Canis lupus familiaris: one gene and its partner. Each later gene encodes a partner of the first gene's protein in a complex. Links are inferred from orthologs where the notes say so. Each region holds a gene or a part of one and is shown in the gene's direction. Other genes may lie near its edges. The genes, in order: RAB11FIP1 and RAB14.

Region 1 (11,689 bases):
GTAGAGCCTAGTTTGAACCTGGGTTGCCTCCTTGAGGGGACCCCTAGGTAAGGAGTCTTATTCTGGCTGTGGTCAGTCCACCCGCACCCCAGCCTTGGAATTGGTGAATTGTCAAACACTGGGCTTGCCTTGAGACTTCCAGGGCTATATTATAATTCCTTAGGCTCAAAAGTCAACATACCCATCAGCCTTGTACCATGTGCTGTGGCGTCCAAAAGGAAGAGAAGGGGGGTGGTGGAGCTGCTTGAAATACCTCTTGGCCAGCTCTGCCTCTGCAGGTCTGTGTCCGGGGGCCCCAGCAGTTGAGACAGTGGAGGCTCATGGCTTACATGGAAGAGGCTGGAAGGAGAACAAGACCCTGAGGGGGTAGCTCCAATGGGACGATTCAAGAAGGAATAAATGCCTCAGAACTTCTGCTTTCTTCTTGTATGTCATGAAACCGATTCTGGAAAGGTGAAGGCTTGCATCTATGATGAACACATATTTCTTTTATAATCAGAAACAATAAATCTGTATTTTTGAAAGATGGTTATATCGGGTAGTGCTAAAAGTGGCCGTGACTGGAGGGAGACTGAAGGGTTCAAAGTCATCTATGCCTCTCTACTTAATCTGACCTGCCTTCTGTTGGCAAGACTTTGGGAGAGCCAGAAATAGTGAGGACCACATTTCCTGCCTTTGGGATGCTTACAGGCCAATAAAACCAGTGCTGAATCTGAGTATAAGAAATAAGCTAGGAAACTCAAAGCAGGGCAACTGGGTGGCTCCGTTAGGCGCCTGCCTTCAGCTCAGGTCATGATCTCAGGGTCCTGGGACTGAACCCCACATCAGGCTCCCTGCTTGGTGGGGGGAGGGGGGGCTGTTTCTCCCTCTCCCTCTGTGCTTGCTCTCTCTCAAATAAATAAAATCTTAAAAAAAAAAAAGAAATCAGAAGCAATTCTAAATGGGAGAGGCACAGGGGAAGGCTTAGTAAAGAAAGGGGAGGTAAGGGACCCACAATCTCTCTCTACAGTCTATAAGACTGTAGTTGTAAGACTCAAGGGCTTTCCGTGAAGAAACTTGGCAAATTTTGTATTATCTACGATGCAAATTTTGTTAAACAAAGTAATAGGGGCAAAGGGGGAAACGTAGCCATTTGCTTTTGAGACCATCCTTTGTCCTGTGTGGCTATAGTTGTTTCGTTTTGTTTAGTTTTTTGTTTTTAGATTTATTTGAAAGTCTGAGAGAGAATGTGCACGTGTGGTGGAGGAGGTGCAGGGGAAAAGAATCTGCAGCAGACTCCCCACTGATCGTGGAGCCCATCACCAGGCTTGATCCCCCAATCCATGAGATCAGGACTTGAGCAGAAACCAGGAATTGGATGCTTAACCAACTGAGCTACCCAGACACCCCAGTGTGGCTATAGTTTTAACTTCCACATTGCCACACCCCCTGGGGCAATGGAAAGAGAGCCTGGTGTTGGGGGCTTGCTCCCCTGGCTCGTGATCCCTGAGGCAGAAGCCCCCTAGCACCCAGAGCCGACATCTGGAAAGTAGTCTCCTTGGTCAGCCAAGTGGGTGAGAGTCTGAGGCAGCTGGACCTGGGGAAGCCAGAAGGCTGTTTACCAAGGGCTCCAGTGAATGAGTCATGTGTGTGGACGTTTGTCACCACACCCCAGAGTGCAAGGCAAAGGAGAAAGACAAGCAACCATTACCAGCCTCTTTCTTCTCCTCCCTTAGGACAGCACACTAGTCCATTCCGAGTCCCCAGAGGTGATTTTTTTTTAGAGAGAGTGAGAGAGAGAGAGAGAGCACGAACGAGCAGGGGGAGAAGGATAAGCAGACTCACACTGAGTGTGGAGCCTCATGCAGGGCTTGATCTCATGACTCTGAGATCATGACCTGAGCTGAAACCAAGAGTCAGAGGCTTAACTGAATGAGCCACCCACGTGTCCCCTCTGCCCGGGGTGGGGGTGTCTGTTGGTTAGATCTCTTGCAGTTGGGGATGTACTGAGGAGCAGCGGGCAGGAGTGATTGGCAGTGGTAGGGTGGCAAACATCTCTCATTCTGCTTGCCCTTCCTCCCCACTCCCAGCACGGCTCTATACTATGTCTTTTCCTGGGAGACTTCTTGGTTGCTCCTAACAGCAAATCTGCACTGGTCATCTAACTGCACAGCTGGTGTCTGGGAGTCCAGGCACACTCTACTGCTTTGGGAGGAGGCGAGGTGGCTAATCTGTCCAGTCCAACCTGCCAGGCACCTTGCCCACGTGCTCAGGGCCAACAGAAACTCTTCTCCTCTTTCAGTCAGGGCTAGAGGCGGGCCAGTGAGAGGAATGAGAAGTCAACTCACCACACCCTGGCTGTAGGAGGTGTTTATAAACACTCCTGGAATGCAGTGAACCTGCGAGGGGTCAGCTGCCCCAGGACGGCCTGGCCTGTGGGAGAGGGTGGAAGGGATGCCCAGGTGGATTCTGCTGAGGGCAGGTGGGGAACAGGGCACAGTGGAGCACCAGCCCTCTCGTGGTCCTTGTCATTGCACCTGCACACCTCCCATCCTGGACTGTAGGGCTATAAAATTGGAAGACAACAGACTTACTCCCGGGGGGTCAGCAAATGAGTTTTGAGGGACAAAGAGCTCTGGCTGGAGGAAGGGAGAAAACAGCCACCAAGCCATTTAGCATCAAGTACATCCTGTGCTCTAGCTCCTGGCTTCTCTCTACCCTGACGTATTTCCAATTCCTGCCTCTCATGAGCCCCACTCCTCTGAGTTAACCTCTGCAAGTGTCCAGTGTCTGGAAGGATCTTGATTTCCTGTGGGTGGTGGAACAGCCTTTCCCTCCCCCAATCTACAACCTCTGCTTTAACCTTAGAGCCTATATGTGTTTGACAGAAACCCAAACACATGAGGTCACAAGGTATTATAGTTTTTCCTTCCCCCTTGTTCCCTTCCTTTGTCCTCTCATCCTTTCCATGAATGGAAGGGATGCTTTGGGTCATACTCAGCCTATGAGGCTGACCAGCTGGCTTTCAATCCTTGCTATCTTCACTGTGGGGCAGCATGAACAATGTGAGTGTGGGGGAGGACAGGAGATGAGAGCTGAAAAACTTCACTCACAGGGGATCAGTCTTGACCCCAAATCTTGGACTCTGTCCAGCAGGGAGGTAGTGGAGCAGTGCACAGGTAGGAAAACCAGGAGGGGAATAAGTGCCTTATTGACTACAGTTCCAACTTGGAACAGACTCCAAGGATGGATAAGTGGTAGAGTGGGGCCAGAGGCAGATAGTCCCCAGGTGAAAATGAAGGCATCTAGCTCTGACCCCCCACCCCAATGCTGGCTGCTGGGCTACTTTTGCTCACACCTGCCTTACAGCATGAAGCACAGCCTCATCACACCACTGCTCAAAATCCTCTGAGGGCTGGCTCACCCTGGCCTAACGCTGTGGCATAAACCCCTTAGCCTGGTGTTCATGAGCTACGTGATCTAGGCCTACCTACCTTGGCTGTCTTATCCCTACCATCCACCCACAGTGCCCTCCAAAGATATCCCACATTCTGGCCCCCAATGGGGTGCTCCTAACCCCTGAACATGCTGGGAACTCTCCGGCTCCTATATCTGCTTAGACTGTTCTGTTCTCTCTCCCTTGAAATGCTCTTCCCCCACACCACCCCCTCTCTGCCTGTCAAATCTGGTATATGCTTTACTTTAGGGCTCAGCTCAATGTCTTCATAAAAATCCACCTGCTTAGAGAAATCACTCCAACCTCAAAACCCCCAAAGCATTTTGTTAGTGTAGGATTTCCGTTATAGCATTTGTCATGATGTGCCTCAGAACTGGATCTTGTTTTAGGGCTTTGTGCCCTCTGTAGCTCCTAGCACATACTGGGTACCAAGTAAGTTCTCAATATATTTTTATGGTAATGAATGGGGCCATGAGGTTGAATGACATCAACAGATGGTCAAGATACGGAAATGGCAACAAAATAACAGAGCTCTGCTAGGCTTTTCCATCACTTACCTGTCTGGTGCCTCCTTTTTATCACCATTGCATATTTACAATGTATGGAATAGGTCTTTCCCGCATGGTAGCCACCCTCAGTTGCAAACCTGAGGCATAATGCATCTTGTAATGTCCTCCAGGGTAAAAGGAAACACTGTGTGCTCCTGGTTGGCCAGAATAAACTGCACACTCTCTCTTCACTTCCACAGCACTTCCTGAGCACTTGGGGTGCATGTACCCAGGTTTCTGCCGGGGGGCTATGGAAGAGACACCTTAACCAAGTCACCACCTGGTCCCCCTGGAAGCAAAACCATGGGGGGAAATGTGAGTGAAGTCCTGCAGTCAGCAGGACCTGGGAATGAAGGGAAACTGCCCATCCAAGGGACATCTGGAAGAAGGAAGTGAATGACTGGAAGCCCCCAGGGATAAAGGGCAGGGAAGAGACTCTGGGCTACTGGAGCAAGGGTGGCCCTCTGGTCTCCAGATGTCCGGGTTTGGCAACCCTATCTTCAGTTCCTCCTTTATTCCTCTTCCCTAATTTACCCTTTCAGCCTCACCTTATTTGGTGAGAGCAGAGCAAAGTAGGACACTCCCACAGCACCTCATCACCGGCCCCCTTCCCTCTCACCTTCCCCTTTTCAGGCCCTCAAAGGATCCTCCTCCTTCCGCCACCCATCGGCACCCTCCCAGCTCCCGCAGTCCCCCGGAGCAAACCACGGGCTGGCCCAGATCAAAAGAGCAGCGACTGTGGGATCGCGCTCACTGTCACCTTCATGGCACCTCCTGATCCAGAACTCACCATGTGCCGGGCTACGTTATCATTTTTAAAGCAGTTGCACGAGGTGATGGTTATCTCACTTTATGGGTGAGGACACTGAGACCAAAAGATGAGAAGCAATGCATGCCGAGTCACACGCCCGCCCGTTGGCGGGGCCAGCCTGGAAGTGAGGTCGGGCTCGTGCGACCTGGTCCCGTACCAGCACCTCTCGCTCCAGCATCCCCCGAGCCCCCGCTCCCGGCCCCCGCCCGGGACTCTCGGGCCTGAGCCGCAGAGGCCGGGTGGGGAGCGGCAGGTGAGGCGGGGCGGCGGGGGCGGGGCGGGGCGGGGCGGCCCGGGCCCGGAGGGCGGGGCGGGGCGGGGCGGGGCGGGGGCGGGGCCGGAAGCCTTAAAGGGGCCGCGGCGGCGGGGCGGGCCGCAGAGCCGGCCGGGCGCCGCCACCTTCCCGGCCTCTCCGATCCCCAGCGGCGCCGTCACCATGTCTCTGGCGGCCTCGGCGGGCCGGGGCCCGGGGGCCGTGTGGTCCCCGACGCACGTGCAGGTGACGGTGCTGCAGGCGCGGGGCCTGCGGGCCAAGGGCCCCGGGGGCACGAGCGACGCGTACGCGGTGATCCAGGTGGGCAAGGAGAAGTACGCCACCTCGGTGTCGGAGCGCAGCCTGGGCGCGCCGGTGTGGCGAGAGGAGGCCACCTTCGAGCTGCCGCCGCTGCTGTCCGCCGGGGCCGCGCCCGCCGCCGCCGCCACCTTGCAGCTCACCGTGCTGCACCGCGCGCTGCTCGGCCTCGACAAGTTCCTGGGCCGGGCCGAGGTGGATCTGCGGGAGCTGCACCGGGACCAGGGCCGCAGGAAGACCCAGTGAGCGCGCGCCGGGGGCGGGGGGCGGGGGGCCGTGCGGCTGGGCGCCGAGAGCCTTCTAGAGCGGGCGTGGCGGTCACCGTGCCGCCGTGTCCCGGGGGCACGGGCCGAGAGAGGCCTTGGGACAGGGCTCTCCCGGGCGACGGCGGCCTTCTCACTTAGCTTCAGCTTCTCCAGGCCGTCCCGCGCCGCCCTGCCCGGGTGCGCGCTCCCTTGAGGCCCGCGTGAGGGGCGGGGGTGGGGAGCACCAGCACCTGGGGTGTCTGCATCTGCGCGACGTCGCTCAGCGCCCGGAACTTAGTAAGCACTTAATGAATTTCTGATGAATGGAAGATACTTGTGGGCTGACGAATTCTTCTTACTAGTGTGGGTGGTGTGGTTGTCGGATACGGATCTCCTGGGCATTTCCTGGGTATTTCACTGTCCTGGACCTGGAGCTGCGAACGTGTGGGCCCGGGCTCAGGGAAGAAGATCCGGTGGAGGGTGAACCCGCAGACACTCTGGCCCTAGAGGCTCACTCACGGACGTTGCGGGGTGGAGGCTGAGGACTAGGGAGTGCCGGCCGCCCAGAGATGGCTAGTGAAGAGAATTTGCTTCTTTCTCTTCCCCTTTTCTCCTCCCACCCCCATCCCCGCCCCCCAAAGGATGCTAGAACGGTTTGGTCCTAACTTCCAGTCTGAAAACTATTAGGCATGTTTGCCTTGAGCCCCAAGTCAGTAAGGACTTCCCAGTGCTGGTTGGAGTCGGGGTCAGTCCTTGGCTGAGCAAAACTGGGAGGCATCTGAGCCATGCCATGTAGGCATTGTTTGTTTTTGGGAGTTTGTCAGGTTCTCTCTGGTCGTGCTCTGAATGGATGGCTGCTCACATGTAGCTTCTCAGTCTAGAGTTGTGTGCTAGGGTATCTCACTCCCACAGGGAAAGCTGGGCCTCACCCAGTTCACTTCAAGGTGTTACTCATTTATTTGTTCTCTTGTGCAGGTGTTTGCCATGGAACGTTTGATTATGTAACATTTGATTATGCTCGAGTACTGTACCAAAAGCTGGCCTCCTTAGCTTAATTGGTTACTTTGCTGGACCTTAAACATGCAAGTCAGTCATATTACCACATCTCCTACTGTTTGCGAAGCACATGGATTCACATTGGGTGCTTTAGATATAAATGGGGTTTTAACCTTCCTTTGTGAAGCGGATGGGAAAAGCCAGAGGGTTGGAAGTTACCAGACTCCCTTGTCTGCATCGTGGGTCCAATTTCAGCTTGCATGCTTGCAAATGCAATACCTGATTCACTTATCTGGCCAAAGATGAATAGGCATTTCTGAATTCAAATCAGATAAAATAGAGCGCCTTGAGGTGAGGATGGATAGGGTATCTCTTGGCATTAACTTACAAGCCATAAGGTGAGCAGAGTCTTTGCTAAGGAGGCGCTGAAACAATGCTAATTTTCCATTTGATTAAATAACATTTGGGGCCTTGGCTTGGCTTCCTTTCCAAGTTCAACTGGGTGCCATTTGGCCATCCTTTGTCTTGTTCCATCCCAAGATGCACGGATATTATCATCTGTTTCTGCTGTTTCTCATGTGAACATTTTATTCCCTTGAAAGATAGATCTCCTGTACCAGCCAGAGATGAGGATTCCAGATTCCTGGTTCTGGTGCCCACTCTGGTCCTGACTCATTGTTAGGCTTCGGGCTGCTCGGTCTCTAAACACCCAAATTTCCCTATTTATGCATGGAGCTTGTTGCCAGGCTTAATTGATATTTATAAGATGTTTCTGGTTCCTGGATTACTGGGGCCTGTGTACAGCTCAAAAGGTTCTTTTACTGCTTTGTGAGAAATGACAGCCTCCTTAAGATCTCTATTTCAGGAAGGGTTCCAGCATCTTCATTTGTCTTCCTCTCCAATGTAATCCTAAACCTACATTGTTACTCCCGTCTCTATTGTATGAGCTGATTACTACTTAGTCACAGTATCAACCTGTAGGAAAGTGATGCTTAGTTGGTATGTGTGTTTCCATAACTGCAAAGGAAGTCTCCTTTGGCCCCCTTAGCAGCCCGTGGAATTGCAAGCTTTCCATCTGCTGCTTCCTGGGACTTTCCAAGGTGCCAGGGAACCTAGTTAAACCAAGCCTCTCTGCTGCCCTGGTACATCACTTGGGTGCTCAAGATAGCTGAGATTTGGAGAGTGAGATATATACTGAGAGGCAGAAGTTTACCAGAAAGAAACTAGTTAGGCTAGGAAAGTCATTTGAACTAGTTATTAATGGTTTGACTCCATGTTAGATATTAAACACCAGCAACAAACAAAAGCTTGAATTTTGGTCTCTAGGTTTATTTGTGTGTACGCATGCATGTGTGTTAATCTTGAGCAAAGAAGAGTCTAGAAACTCAAGACGTTAACAGCTAACTGTGCTAGAATTTCCCTTTGTTCTCTTGATAAGCCCTCATCTATCATACATTTGAAGGCAAGAGAACTATGCTTTTCGTGACTCAAATTTTGCAGACCTCAAATTTAGTGTGATGACACATCTTTAAAACACCAAACGGGATCCCTGGGTGGCTCAGTGGTTTAGCACCTGCCTTCAGCCTAGGGCATGATTCTGGAGTCCCGGAATCAAGTTCCGCGTTGGGCTCCCTGCATGGAGCCTGCTTCTCTCTCTGCCTGTGTCTCTGTCTCTCTGTTTCTCATGAATAAATAAATTAAAAATCTTAAAAAAACAAAACAAAACACCAAATAGAGGCTGACATATAGGTAGGATACTTTTAATAGAGAAGAGTACGGGGATCCCTGAATGGCTCGGTGGTTTAGTGCCTGCCTTCGGCCCAGGGCATGATCCTGGAGTCCCGGAATCGAGTCCCACGTCGGACTCCCTACATGGAGTCTGCTTCTCCCTCTGCCTGTGCCTCTGCCTCTCTCTCTCTCTCTCTCTCTCTCTGTGTCTCTCATGAATAAATAAATAAAATCTTTTAAAAAAATAGAGAAGAGTACATGACCCTTATCATTAAGAGGAAATGGAAATGCATTAATTTTGCACATATTCTTGCTTCTTAAAGATCTGAGGTCATAGTTGGGTCTTGGTTAAATGAGAACCAGTTAAAGTCTTATAATCATAAGGTGACCAACCATGTAGGATTCTCTGCTCAGCTCTCTAGTCTCATGTAGTTTGGGATCCTAGACATAAGGGGAAAAAAACTTTCTGGGATATGAAGAGCAACAAAATATAGGGAAATAATCTGTTCAGGACTGATTAAAATAAACATCCATTCAGTCTGATGACCCTAAGGCCACTGTGTAACTAACATCATGAAACTTAATGCTGTAATAGTCTTCCAGCCATGATGAGAGAGTGAGTGATGGAGAGTCATTTTCTTACATCTCTTAAAGATGCAAGAGGGAATTTGGTTGCATATAAAAGGATCTGGTTATTAATAAAGTTAGAGATTTTGAAGAATTGTGTTAGTAAGATGCTGTAGTTAAATTGTAAAAGGAAATCTGGGTTATTAAAAAGAAATAAAAAAAAAAAAGAAATAAGGACTCAATAGTTGTTTTTCTGGAAGAGTCGGATGCAGAGAAACGATTTAGATGAGCCGAGAGATAAATAAGCAGTCAGTTTTGGTGCTTCTACTGTCAAGTTTCTGAAGTGCATTTAGGTTTTTTTGTTGTTGTTGTTTTTGTTTTTTGTTTTTTTTTGTAACAAATTGGAAAATTGGCACAATGTTACCGCTTAGGTTTTCCCTTTCTTGGGATTCTCCTTAAAATTAAATTGGGCCTCACTGGGGAGAAATCCTCCTGCCTCTCCCGGGGCCCCTCCCACTCCTGTGTAGGAAAATGATAGCTTAGGCTGGGAGCCTGAGTTCTCGGTCAGCTCTGGGAGAAGTAACCCTAACCTGTGTATAGCCACGGGATGCAGTGACTTCGAAGAAGGAGGGTGCTTTAGAGTCACTGTTCTGGTGATGTGAAAGATGTTCCCTCATGGTCTTATTTGATTATGATTTCATCTGTAGGACATTCAGTTAGCTTGGGGAAAGTTTCAACTGCCTTTTCTTTTGTCTTTAAAAGTATATATATAGTACGTTTTAAAAATTGAAGTATAGTTGACACGCAATATCGCATTGGTTTCAGGTGTACAACATAGTGATATGACGGTGCTGTACGTCATGTTGTGCTCACCATCAGTGTAACTGCCATCTGTCACCGTACAATGCTATTACAGTACCACTGACTGTTCCCTATGCTGTGCCTTTCATCCCCGCGTCTTACTCATTCCATAACTAGAAGCCTGAGCCTCCCACTCCCTTTTGCCCATTTTGCCCATCCCTCCACTTCCTTCTCCCTGACAACCGTCCTCTTTGTTCTCTGTCTTGATGAATCCATTTCTGCTATTTGTTTTGGTCTTTAGGTTCCACATATAAGTGAAATTGTATGGTATTTGTCTTGCTCTGTCTTACTAGACTTAGCCTCTACTAGGCCCATCCCATGCTGTTGCAAATGGTAAGCTCTCCTTCTTATATTTTTAGTAAATATTTTTTAATACCTACTATGTGCCCAGCACTAAGGTGTAAACAATAGTGACCAAAACAGACTTGATCCTTGCTTTCAGGAAGCTCAGAGCCCTGTAGGGAAGATAGACCTTAAATGGATGAACCCATAAATAAATAATCATATATTGTGATAAGTAGAGGAAGAGAACAGGTGTCATAGAGGATAGATCTGGAAGGATATGACTTGAAGAAGGAGATGGCACATAACTTCTTGGAGGCAGGAACCTGAAGCACGAACAGATTTTTCTGGTGAAAAGTAGAGGAAGGGAACTTGAGGTAGAGGGAGAAGCCTGTGCAAAGACCCTGAGGTGGGAATACCTGGGAAGCTGCAGAGACTGTGTAGATTGTGGCTGAAGAGGAAGGCAGGGCTTCATTTAAGAGCAATGGGAAGTCACTGAGTATTAAAAGCAGAGGGGTGTTGTGATCTGGAATAGTCAAAAATCACTGTGGCTGTTGGGTAGAGAATGGATTTGAAGCAGCCCTAGCCTGGAATCCGACAAAATGAGAGGCCGTTGCACTAATCTAGGCTACTGATGGTGGCGGCTTGCACTAGGGTGATGGCCATGTGGTAGACAGAGGTGGTAGGTTTCAGAATTATTTTGGAGGTTCAGTTGGCCTGGTTTGTTGATGGATTGGTGGGTGGGGGTGAGAGAGAGGAAGTGATGAAAATGAACTAATAAAATAAGGAGAGCTTGCTGTTGAAAATGAACCAGGAAGTGGTGGCACTTTTCTTTCCCCTAGCAGCCACTGTGATACGAGAGTGAGGTCACCATTACAAAGACAGCTTTGGGCAGTGACACCTGTGAGTCAAATCTTCTATTGGAATGAATTAGTAGGAAACGTTACTGAAATCAGGGTGTGTGTGTGTGTGTGTGTGTGTGTCTCCCCAAGTATTTACAGTTTTAATACAGGCCAAGTCTTTGTTTTGTAATCGTTTATGTAGCTGATGAAATCTAAATGGTGGCTCTAACACAGCTGATGGAGTCACTGCTTCAAGGAGTACAGGACTTAAAAAAGGAAGAAAAATCATATATAACATTAGGAAAAATAAACCCATAAGTGAAATATAAAACTCTGGAGGCAAGTAAGTCAACCCTTTACGTGTTTTTCACATTAGGGAAGGTAAGTGTACAAAGGAGTCTTGTGCCTTTTTCATTTTGCTTAAACTTCCTTTTGGTTACAAAGACCTCTATTGTGTTTCTGTAACTACCTAACTACCGTCAGAGGGAAGTTTTTGTAAATCGTATCTGATGTGTCATTTTAATTGTAGTGATTAACTAAAAAATGTTATAATTATGTTAAAAGCAATACACGTGCTATTAAAATGTCCGCTCCAGAATCGATTTGCTAAACTTATTCTTTTCCCCCTTAACAGTAATCTTAGATATCCATTAAAATACTATTATTTTAGTTGCCATACATCCTAGAAAACCATGCTCTGTGCTCTACACTCACTCACTGTGGCTTAGTTCCAGAAGGATTAAGAAGCCCTAGCCTAACGGAGAAAGTGATAAGAGGCCTTATCTTCATCCCTGAGCCATCC
Region 2 (11,780 bases), on another chromosome or scaffold:
ATCCCACGTCAGGCTTCTGGTGCATGGAGCCTGCTTCTCCCTCCTCCTGTGTCTCTGCCTCTTTCTCTCTCTCTATGTCTATCATGAATAAATAAATAAATCTTTAAAAAAAAAAAAAGAGGTAAATCTGTTATTTTTTAGTAGAGCTCACAGCATGGTCACTTAGCCACAGAGTGTGAGTCTGAAGTTCAAAGATGCAGGTTTTCTCCGGTAACCCGGCTCCCACTCTAAACCACCCGCCTCTTCAGGTGGTCAGCCAGAGCCACGGCTATCAGATCTGACGCTAGAGGAAAACTAAGAGAGGGTAAGTCAGTCTCTAGTGCGGAGCTTTCCTGGGAAATTTCAAGCATACTTTTCACCTTATGTAAGTTCGTTGTTGTTGACTCTAGAAGTCACGCCCTAATAAAGCTGTGACGTCCGAGGATTATATTTTGGGGCGACTGGTATAAGGTGGATGGGTATGTTGGAAGGGGAGCTATTTTAATGGTCACAACATTTCTTTTACCATTGAGTAGAACACATACTTATCCTTACATTTATGCATCATTTTCTTTTTTTGTATTATGAATTTGCATCTACTCCTTTCTCCTACCCAGAAACTAACGAGTCTTATGTACTTGATTTTTACTTCTCTGTCAACCTGCTAAATTTTGAAGTTTATCAATTGTTATTGATCGATGTAGTAGTATTTTTTTATTATTCGCTTGTTTTTACTTAACTGAATTATGTATCACTAGAGAGCAACCAACTACACTTAAAAATACATTAAATTCTGGGTCTCAGTGGTTGACCGTCTGTCTCTAGCTCAGGGGTGACCCTGGATCCTGGGATCAAGTCCCACATTGGGCTCCCTACCGGGAGCCTGCTTCTCCCTCTGCCAGTGTCTCTGCCTCTTTCTGTGTGTCTCTCATGAATAAATAAATTTTAAAAATCTTAAAAAAATACATTAGGTTCTCTAATTAGGTAGCACACATACACAGTAATAAAATTCAGAGTATAAATTGTGTTGGTTTTGCTGTATCTTCAATATTACCCAGGAGTTGGAATACCAATATTTTAATATCTGGCTATGGTTTATAGTGGCAGCTCCAAAACCACTAGACAAAAAAGGGTAAGTGTGTGTGGGGGGGGAACCTATTATCCGAGATATAACTATGAACAAAACCCCTAAAATAAATGAGCAAAATTAACCAATAAAATTAAGCCTTTAAGACCAACAAGGAGATGAACTAATTTGGTTTAAATAAACACAATAGACAGATCTGAAAATAACTTCAGATTTTTAGCCTTTGGAAAAAAAGAATAGGAAAACATCTATTTTTACAAAAGAAATTATGAAAATATAAATAGGTTGAGATGCAACAAGAACGAGTAGACACGACAAAGCACCAGTGCCCGGAGTGCCCCACTCATCTCCCCAGGAACGGCTGAGCCCTCATACGTTTCTCTTCCAGCTGACTGCTAGCCCGTGTCATCTATGCCTCACCCCGGGAGGACGACCTCGTTGCTGCCCTCCAATCTGGGACTGAGGAGTCCAGGTGTGAGCGGGTTGGTGGGGCAGGTTCCATCCTTCCCCATCCGAAGCCCCTGCAATGTGGTCTCGCTCTCGTGTTTTCCTTTGCCAAGGGTACAATGGGGCAGAGCATATTGGTAAGTCCAATGGCCAAATGGGTACCTGGGGGGCTGCCAGCCTCCGCTTCCTATAGGCACGCCCAAGCTCCACTGGTGATCCCGTGGAGCCCCCGTCCCTCGCCCCTAGGAAGGGATACCACCCCCCACGGAGGGAGAGGGAGGGATGAGCCTCTTTCCAGAGCATTGTTCTTTCCTAAAACCTGACTTCCCTCTCAACTCTCCATTTTTCCCACTGATGAGGGGTGATGGTTTGTCTGTGGGGAGAGAGGATGGGAATGGAGAAGAGGTGGGGAGTAGCAGGGTGGAGGTAGGGGTTGGCAGGAGGGCTGGTTTCCCGAACAATGGCTCCTCAAATGTCCTCCTGGGAGAGAGCTAGTTCCAACCACCGGCAGTGGGCTCCTTATGGACGTTTCGGTTTTCAGAGCTGGGCTTCAGCAGCAGTTTCAGGACAACAGGAAAAACCCCTCTCGATGTGCATTTACACACATATACATATTCGTGCCCCTTTCATAGTTGAACAAGTCTTGGCAGACTGTTTGCTTTTCTCCCTCGTTTTTTTTTTTCATTTGAAGTATTTCTTAGAGGCTGTTCCATATCAGGACACACATGTGTGCTTCAGTCTTTAATTGCTGCACACTCTCCACGGTGTGGGTAGGTTAAAATGTATTACAACAGCTCTTTGGTGAGAGTTGGTCTCTAGTCTTTTACAAGCAGCGCTGCACTCGCTATTTCGTCTATACGTCTCTTTTCACATAAGCAGAAGCCTTAAAAAAAAATTAACTAGGGGATCCCTGGGTGGCTCAGCGGTTTAGCGTCGCCTACAGCCCAGGGCGTGACCCCGGGGTCCCGGGATCGAGTCCCGCGTCGGGCTCCCTGCATGGGGTCTGCTTCTCCCTCTGCCTGTGCCTCTGCCTCTCTCTGTGTCTCTCATGAATAAATAAATAAAATTGTAAAAAAAATTAACTAGAAACCCTGATAGGCATCCAATGGACAGTTCTAATTATGTTGCAATTGGTCACACACAATCTCTCCTCTGAAAATTCTGTGACTTATTACAAGCATCGACCATTTCTACAGTCCTCAACACTTGCTGAGCGTGGACTAGGCACGCTGCATTCACGGCAACGCTTGTCGATGCTGCATCCGGTGCAGTGTCTTCACATAGACTGAAGCGACAATCAGGGATTGGCGCTTAAGCTGCTACAAGAGGAAATAAGGGATAAAGAATACAACGGTGCTTCGGGGATGGGGGCTCCGGAGTCACATGTGCCTGAATTCCCAGCACTGCCAAGTTTTATGTATTTTACAAAGTCTTTGACTTACGTGACACCCAGTTTTCTCATTCATAAAATGACTGTGCGGGGATGTTGCAGAGATTAAATAAGAAAATATACATGATTCTTAGGTCAGTTCCTCTTTCACACTGAGTGTGCAAGAAGCATTAGCTAGTCACGAAGGTCTTCAACCCAAGGGGACAAGTGGATATAGTGAAACGTTCTGGCCAGACCTAAGCTCACAGCTGGACAAGTGATGCCAAATGGTTCACAGCTTCCTTCTTTCCTTTGCAAATTTCTTGATTTCAGAGATGTTGAATCATGAGCACAAAGTATGCTTATTGGAATTAAAGAATACAGGAAGGGCAGCTCTGGTGGCCCAGCGGTTCAGTGCCGCCTTCAGCCCAGGGCGTGATCCTGGAGACCCGGGATGGAGTCCCACGTCGGGCTCCCTGCATGGAGCCTGCTTCTCCCTCTGCCTGTGCCTCTGCCTGTGTCTCTCTCTGTGTCTCTCATGAATGAATGAATGAATAAATAAATAAATAAATAAATAAATAAATAAATAAATAAAATCTTAAAAAAATAAAAATAAAGAATACAGGAATAGAAGCATAGACCTCCAGGGCCAGAAGGGATTTCAACATAACCTTATATCGGATTATCACCTAATAGCCATTCCCACGTATTAAAAACGCGTATGTCAAGCGCTTTGTGTATATCACCTCATTTAACGCTCACAAGGACCCACGGGTGATAGGTATCATCATCCTCATTTTGCAGAAAAGACTGCGGATCTGGGAAATCAAGGGACGTGCCCAGCCGTGGGTCATCAGTAAGTGGAAGATCAGGGATTCGCAGCCGGGTCTTTCTGAAAATGAGACATGTGTGAACTGCCATACGGTTTTCCAAGGAAGTGTCCCGTCGCCGAGGCAAAGCCAGCTTCTGAAAGCTCCTCCTGCCGAGAGCCTGAGCTTCCTTTGGGTAAACTGAGGCAGGGCCGTCACCTGAGCCACCGGAAGCACCGAGCCTGGGGCCCACGATGCTTTCGTGGGGACCCGCAGAAATGTCTTCAGTGCTTTGAAAGTCAGGAAGGAAAGATGAATTTCCAGGTTAAAGAAAGTGTCGTGCGGTGTGACATTAAAACATCCCTCTCCACGCCAACGTAGCTGTAAAACGCTAACAATAGGAACACAGAAGTACAGGAACAGGCGATCCCCGTAACCGTCTCCGCAGGCACAGGCGGGCGTTGGGGTCCCCCGAGGGCCGCCCGCCGCCGGCTGCGCAGGGCCTTCCGGGAGGGTGGCAGGCCGGAGGCGCCGGGGTGCTGGGGTGCTCGGGCCCCGCGTCCCAGGGCCCCTCGGAGGGCAGAGGCGACCCACAACGGGAAGCGCCACGTTCCGGCTGCTGGATCCCGGGCCCCCGGCTCGATCGACGCGAGCCTCAGTTTCGCCATCGGTACAATGGGGCCAAGAGCCTCCTGCGGCTGCGGGACGGGGACGCGTGCCCTCGGGCCCCGCTGCGGGCGGGCGCAGCAGACTGTGCCCGGCGTGGGGCGCGCGGCGCGGGCGTGTCCGGCAGGCGGGGGCGGGGGGGCGGGGGCCGGGGCCGGGGCCGGGGCGCCGGGAGCCGCAGGGTCCACCGAGCGCCGAGCCCGGCCCGCCCCGCCCCGGCCCGGCCCGCCCCCAGCAGGTGCCGCGCGCGCCTGCGCAGGAGCGCCCCTGGGAAGCGGGCGCCGGCCGCTGCGCCTGCGCACAAGCGCCGCCCTCCGCCCCTCCAGGCGCCGCCGCCCGCGGGGCGGGTCTCGGCGGCCGCGCGGCGAGTCCCGAGGGCCGCGGCGGGGAAGGGGCGTGGCCAGCAGGCCGGGCCGGCCGCCGTCTTCCGGGCCCCGCCGGCTGCGCGCGCAGCCTCCTCCCCCCGCTTCTTTTGTGGTCCGGCCCATTGCGAGGGTGACAGGAAACCCTGTGCAGGGAGCGCCGCCATCTTGGACCTGCCCGAGGAGATCCTGAGGGAGCCGCGGAGCCGTCGCCGCCGCCCCCGCCGCTGCCGCCGGCGCGCCTGCACCTCGTCGGCCAGCCCGCCGCCCCCGGGGCCCCGGCCGCCCGCCCGCCCGCCCGCCCGCCCGCGCCGCCCGCCGCGCCCGCTTCCTCGTCCTGACGCCCCCCGCCCGCCCGGAAAGCTGCCCAGCCACCAGCAACCCCCCAGGTGAGCCGGGCCTTCCGCAGCGTCCGTCGGGCCGCGGCCGCCTGGCGCGGGGGCGGGGGGCGGGGGCGGGGGCGCCGCGGGCGGGCCGGCCGGGGGGCGGGGGCGGCGGGGGCGCGGGCGAGGGCGCGGGCGAGGGCGTGTGCGGCCGGCCGCCGCCGCCCCCGCGAGCCCGGACGTGGAGCCCCGGCCCCGGCGCCGGCCCGCGTGGGCCCGGGCACAAAGGCGGCAGCTGGAGGCCTCGCCGGCGCGGCGGGGCTCGGTGTCCTTGTCGGCGGGGCCGCGGCGGAGGGCCGGGGCGGTGAGGGCCCTGAGGGCCGGGGAGGCTGAGGGCCGCGGCTGCTGAGGGCCGGGGCGGCCCGGACGGCGCCGAGCTTGGGTGGCGTCGGCCCGCCGTGAAGGCGACAAAAAGTTGTGGGTTTTGAGCGTTTCTGGGACTGGAGGGGAGACGGCGGAGCAGGGAGCCCGTCGCCGGTGGCCCTGGCTGCCGACTGCGCCGGCTCCGCTTGGCCCGGTCGGGCCCGGGCTGGGGGCTGCGAGGTCCGCGTCCCCGTCCCCGCCCCCGGCGCCCCCCGCCGCGAGCCCCCGCGCCCTCCGGCCTCGCCGCCTCACCTGCAGGGCGGGTGTAAGGTCAGTCGTTGCTTGCAGAGGAGGGAAGGCGGTCGCGGGAGGCCGCGGGAGGCTCCTCTAAAGCCGAACGGCCCCAGATTCTTGAGGCTCAAGCGACGTCTTTCAAGTCTCTGCTTCTGACGACCCAGCCCGGGCCCGTCCCGCCGCGAGCGTCTTTACGTAACCGCGGTAGGAGAGGGCTCCGCGGGAGCGGCCTCGGCCCAGGCAGGACGCCGGAGCCCGGGACGTCTGGTGCGGCCGAGACACGCCTGCGCGCGGACGGGCTGCGCCTCGGAACTTGAGGGCGTAGCTTCCAGCGTGTGCGGGGGGGTCCCGGGAGTGTCGGGGTCGCCCCCCCCCCCCCCGCCACGTTGCTTTGAGGACCGTTCCCTTCAGACATCACGTTTCATCAGTGAAACTTTGGCCGTTTCTGGCCCTCTTAGTGCTTGTAGTAAAGTAGGTGCGGGCCCCTGGCTGGTTCTTGCCCTTGAAGCACGGCTGCGGCGCCCAAGCACTTTCTTCCTAGGCTGCGGCCATGACGGCAGAACTGCCCTGCTCGTGGCACAGTAGAAACCCGGCTCTTTTTCTTGTATTAGTTGATGCAAAGATGTGACATTGACTGTCCTGCCAAGAGTGAGTTTTTTAAAGTGGAGGTCAGAATGGGTGGGCTCTTCTCCGAGGTTGCGTTACTGCTGAGACCGCGCATTCGGATTCCCCGAGCACAGCACCGGTCTACACTGTGTCCCCGGCACAGCCTGTTAGCGAGTCCGACCGCCGCTAAGTCTCCGGGAGGCGGGCGCGACGCTCCTCTTGGTCGCTCCTGCCTTGTCAAAGCCTCACGCAGACTCTGTGCTTCGCAGATGCTCAACAAGGATTTCCGTGTTGGGATCACAGTGCTTTTGGGCGCTCGGTCCAGTTCTGTGTCTATAACGAGATGTCTTACGTGTAGCAAAACCCCAAACCAAGCTTAGTAATGTTAATAATGAGGATCAGAATGTAAATCACCTGGAATCTTTGTGGGTTGTTTTTGTCCTGTGTTGTCTTGAATAAGTTATGTAAAAATTACATCGTAGCATCGTTCGTCCTAAGAAGTAGAATAAAATAGCCGTTTAATGGTTGTGAGAGGATTAGTCAGACGTAGTGCCTGAGTGAACACAGTAAAAGCCAAGGTATTAAAAAAGAAAAAATGCTGTCAATTTTCGGAGTGTGTTTTTTGAGGCCGATCATATGATTGACTTTCCCCATATTATTATGAATTTCCCCATATTATTGTAAATGTGTAAGTAATGTTGGAACTATTATGAATGGGAGTTGTTTTATTTTTGGAAAATATTTATTCTAGAGAGATTGAAGGCATGTGAGTAGGGCTGGGGCTGGGGCTGGGGCAGAGGGAGAGAAAATCTTCAAGCCGACTCCTGAGATGATGACCTGGGCCAAAGTCCAGAGTTGACCACTTAACTGAATGGGCCACCCAGGCGCTGCTTGTTTTTGTTGATTCTTGTTTGTTTTGTATTAGAATAGTTCTTTATCTACTTTGAATACTTTAGAATATCACCAGTGAATATAGCACATGCTTACACTGTTAATAGAGTTATATAAAGTTAATAATTTCTCCCTATCCTTTTTCTTCTCAGTCCACATACTCATTTTTCACAATTTGGTGTGTATCCTTCCATATTATCTGTATACAGGTTTGAGGGAGAGTGTGTGTATGTGTGTGTGTTTAAAAATGGGATATGCCACTGCATAAAATTCTATCAACTTTTTTTTTTCCACTTAAAAATCATGGATATATTTTTAAGTTTATTATCCATCTCTGAATGGTTTTTAAACTAGAAGCATGTTATTTCATGATACTTTAGTCATTTCCCTGTTGATAGAAGTATAGATTGTTTCCAGTTTTTTTGGTTTTGGGTTTTGTTTTGTTTGCTGTATAAGTACTGCATTAGATGCAGTTGGACCTATAACCTTATGGATTGAAGATCTTGTATCTGTAGGCTACTTCTTGGTCACAGTTGATTGGGATTATCTTTAAGATTTTAAAATATATTGTTTACTTCCCAAAAAAATGTGGCAATTCAGACTCTTGTAAGCAGAGTGTATGAAAGGTCCTTAACCTTCTCGTCTGCATGCACATTTCAAATACAGTCATTTATATATCTGTTTAATTTCACTTGGAGATGTATCTAACTATATGGAGACCATGCGACTTTATTTTGGGGGCAACAATGATTTGTCTTTAATGTGTATTTAGTAACCATGTAGATCTCTGTGTATTGGCCTGGAAATGGATCCATGATTTTGTTAAGTGAAAAACATGCAGTTTGATGCAGTAGCATACCCCATTTTAAAATATATTCCTTACCTTAAGGGTGTTTCTTGTGTTGAAGATTTAATGTTAATCTCAAAAAATCCGTTGTTAAAGGAGTATTAGGCATAGTTAATATTTAAAGGGACTACACCACAATCATCAGTGTTTGGTATGCATGTAGTAATCATTAGTCTTGACAAGAAGTTTAGTGCTAAGTTTTACATGCAGTGATAGTAAGGCCTGACCCTAAATATTTCGTGTAATTATCTTCCATTTTTCTTTGATTTTTTTTTTTTTTTTTTAAGTTTTATTTGTTCATGAGACACACTGAAAGAGGCAGAGACACAGGCAGAGGGACAAGCAGGCTGTCAGTGGGGAGCCCTATATGGGACTCCATCCCAGGACCCCGGGATCGTGCCCTGAGCCGAAGGCAGACGCTCAACTGCTGAGCCACCCAGGCGCCCTGTTTTGGTTTTATCAGTTTACATATGTATGTATATCAGTCCACATACATATATGCTTTTAATAACCCGCCTTAGAGAAAATCATGTTCTTTGGAGTCAGGCCTGGGTTCAGATTCCAGCTCTGCCATTTACTATTTTTGTAACACAGGCCAAATTAATGAATTTCTCTAAACTTCAATTTCTTCAGTTTTTGCATGGACATAATGACTGCAGAGTTGTGAGAATTAAGTAAGAATTATATGAAGGGAAAAGTACTGATGATCATCACACGGTTTACTCTAAACAAATGTTGTTACCTTCAGAAACTTTAAGTGGATATAACTTGAATTAGTGTTATCATTCATATCTACAAATCCTGATTATATCCTCTAAATATAATTTTTTAAGACTGAAGTATTATATTAGTACCAAGTGAGAAAGGTCTGTGTCCCAAAGTACCACCAAAGGGTTTCATGGTGCATCCCTTAACTATGAAGGAGGCCAGATGGTGTAGTGAATAAGAGGGGGTTCTCTGCAGTTAAAAACAGTCTTAGGTTCAGTATAAGCTTGACCACTTAGCTGTGTGACCTGGACATGTTACTTACCTGTTGAGTCTTCATCTGTAAAATGAGGATTATAGTCACTGTTTTATAAGGCCGTAGTAAGGATTAATTGAGATTGCATGTAAAATGTTTAGCACATTGCCCTGGTGTATATTAAGTACTCAATAAATGGTAACTGTAACAATTGTTTACTAGTTTGCAGGTTGTTCATCTGTATTTAATGGTGCTTATTGTCTGCAAGGAGTACTTTTTACATAAGGAAACCAGAAGCATTGAAGGAGATCTTATCTGCATATGAATTTTATTTTCATACTTTTCTAACACATGGAAAACACATTTTAATTTCACCAGTAGCTGTGCACAAGTTATGAAATATTATCAAGGTTTTTTAATTAGTGGAGATTTTAGTGTTGAATGAACTCATGTTTTCAGAGATTTGAACTAGACCGACAGTTTTTACCCCCTTTCTCCCCCCCCCCTTTTTTTTTTTTTTGACTTTTGAGTAAAGCAAAAAGCATTCTTAGATAATAGAAAACTTTTTTCCTCTTTCAAATCTGGGTAAAAAGTACATTCCTCACCTTAACAGTGGTATGTTTCATTCATGTTCAAGAAATGATGTTGAGAAATCCTTTTTTAGGACAATACTAATTAAGCATTGGTTAATATTTAAAAGGGGCAACTCCAATATAGTTTTAATGTAAATACATAATTTTGAGTGAATGTTACCAATAAGCTGTGGGAGTATATTTAAACCTAGCTAGTATCTTAGCTTATAATAAGAGAGGGAGGACCTGTTGTGTTAGTGGCTACAGTGCTAGATATTTTCTGCCTTTCATTGTCTACTGAAATTATTAAACTTGAGTAGCTTTCCCTTTTAACTTTGCCTTTAGGGTTCATTTTTAAGAAACTTGAACCAGAAAGTTGTGTTTTGAGGTGAAGACAGGGTACTAGTATTTACTCCGAAAAAGTGATCATTGTCTTTTATTTGGGAATAGTTTATGCTAATTAATGCTTGGCAGTTTTTTAAAATGTTTTAAAATTAGTCATCTTGTAGATATTTAATAAATGCTTTTGTGGTAATTAGCAAGTACACAAATTAATACAACTAGAATTGGCTTATAATTTTATGATTAACCTTTAGAGCATTTCAAGGAGAAATTAGAATTGTTAGAGGCCTTGGTTTTAACATAATAAAATGGAAGGAAGCAAAAAGTGTGTATGGCTACAGCTTTGGGTAAGAAGAGAGAAAGGAAATGGGAAAATCAGAAGAGGAAGAGCATAAAAGAAACTAATTTTAAGGTGACTAATTCCTTTTCCTCAAGTTTGAATGGGAAAAGAGGAGCTTAAAAAAGAAGTTAAAAATTAATTATAGGGTTCTGGGAAGAATGCAGGTGAAGAACATAATAATCTTTAACATTTTTATTGTGAAAGATTATTTTTTTTCCTTGTGTTTGGGATCTGGTTTGGATATCTGGTGAATAACCCACACCAATTTTAGCCTCAGGACCAAGTTCATTCTTAAAAGTTTTGCATCCCTAGTGTCTGGGAAAAGAGAAAAAAATTATGATGGTGTTCAGAATCAGTTAATCTAACTAGAGAAACTCCCTTCCTGAACAAACTGGTTAAGGGAGTTTTCAGTGATGTTGAAGACTGATTATGAAAGTGCTACATGTCAAGCAGGAATAGGTAGCAGGGCATCCGCTTTTGTTAAATGTAATCCTTATAGTTAAGTGAGAAGATTATATTGTGTGAAGTGATTGTCTAATACTTAACTGTAATTAACAACTTTCTCTTTCCTGTTAACAATAATTCACTTGTTTTAAATAATACTTTTTTATAGGTTAAATTTTATTATATAGTAATTTTGTTAGCCTTAATAAATGAATTTCTGCAATCATATCAAATGTCTGGCTTGTATAGTGTGACAACTGGCCATGATAGAAAAAATCAGATTAAAATATTGGAAATCAAATTTTTAAAAATGGGGTCAAATCTTTATATATGTGTGAGCATGCGAGTAATTTTTATCTTAAGCTGAGAACTGGTTTGAGAATAAACGTTACTGGAAGTTATTACCAGTATTAGAATTTACCTCTTGTTTTTCTAGCACTTAGCACAGTGTCTAACACATTTAAGGCATTCATTTGGATAAACTGGGGAGTTTTTTCTTTTTTTTAAGTCATTAAAAGTAGAAAGAAATTGGAATTATTTAGGTTAAGTCCATCTGAGGGCAAAGATAGGCTGTGATCTTTCTAAACATCTTCTAATACATACACTTGAAAATTTTACAATCCTAAATTAAATTTTAGGCCATTATTTTAGCTTCTAGAGTAGTATATAGTAGGCATTTGATACATTGTTAATCTTCATATCCTTTATTGGGTTGAGCCGTATGAAAGTGCAAATAACTGACTTTAAAAATGTATAAGAACAGCAGTTTCATGTGGTTTTATCTAATTCTGGCAGTAATTTGGTTTGGAAATAGTTGGTCTTTTTGGATGCTATGCTATGATTTAAAGTAGTAAAAAAAAAGTTATTTTGTGTTTTTAAGTTAGTGGTTACTTTTTAGAACACGCTGTTGTAAAATCAAAGAGTTCTGAACAAGTTGGCCATCAGTAATTCACTTCATCAGTTGACAAGGGTGGGGACTTAAAAGGGGAGAGCTGTTTATAATGATGTTTAATTCAAAGTTATAAAGATTTCCTTGTTTGAAATTTTCCAGAGTAACTTTTTTTACTGGATATTCCCT

Evidence for each region.
Region 2: the proteins of RAB11FIP1 (region 1) and RAB14 are in contact, whole or in part, in a crystal structure (PDB 4D0G), measured with the Homo sapiens proteins. The link is inferred for Canis lupus familiaris from reciprocal best matches to the Homo sapiens genes RAB11FIP1 and RAB14. Residues at the interface, in NP_001002814.2 of Homo sapiens: Glu1252, Ile1255, Asp1256, Asn1257, Leu1259, Val1260, Met1263, Pro1267, Asn1268, Leu1270, Arg1271, Ile1272; in NP_057406.2 of Homo sapiens: Leu28, His29, Ile44, Gly45, Val46, Glu47, Phe48, Gly49, Trp65, Arg72, Arg74, Ala75, Val76, Ser79, Tyr80.

What each region holds. Positions count from the first base shown.
Region 1 is NC_049237.1:28,235,435-28,247,123, forward strand, and holds the start of RAB11FIP1 (rab11 family-interacting protein 1), read left to right. Parts: upstream 1-5,231; coding exon 5,232-5,608; intron 5,609-11,689. UniProt on the Homo sapiens protein: A Rab11 effector protein involved in the endosomal recycling process. Also involved in controlling membrane trafficking along the phagocytic pathway and in phagocytosis. Interaction with RAB14 may function in the process of neurite formation.
Region 2 is NC_049232.1:74,588,284-74,600,063, reverse strand, and holds the start of RAB14 (ras-related protein Rab-14), read left to right. Parts: upstream 1-5,023; 5' UTR 5,024-5,108; intron 5,109-5,717; exon of another isoform or gene 5,718-6,010; intron 6,011-11,780.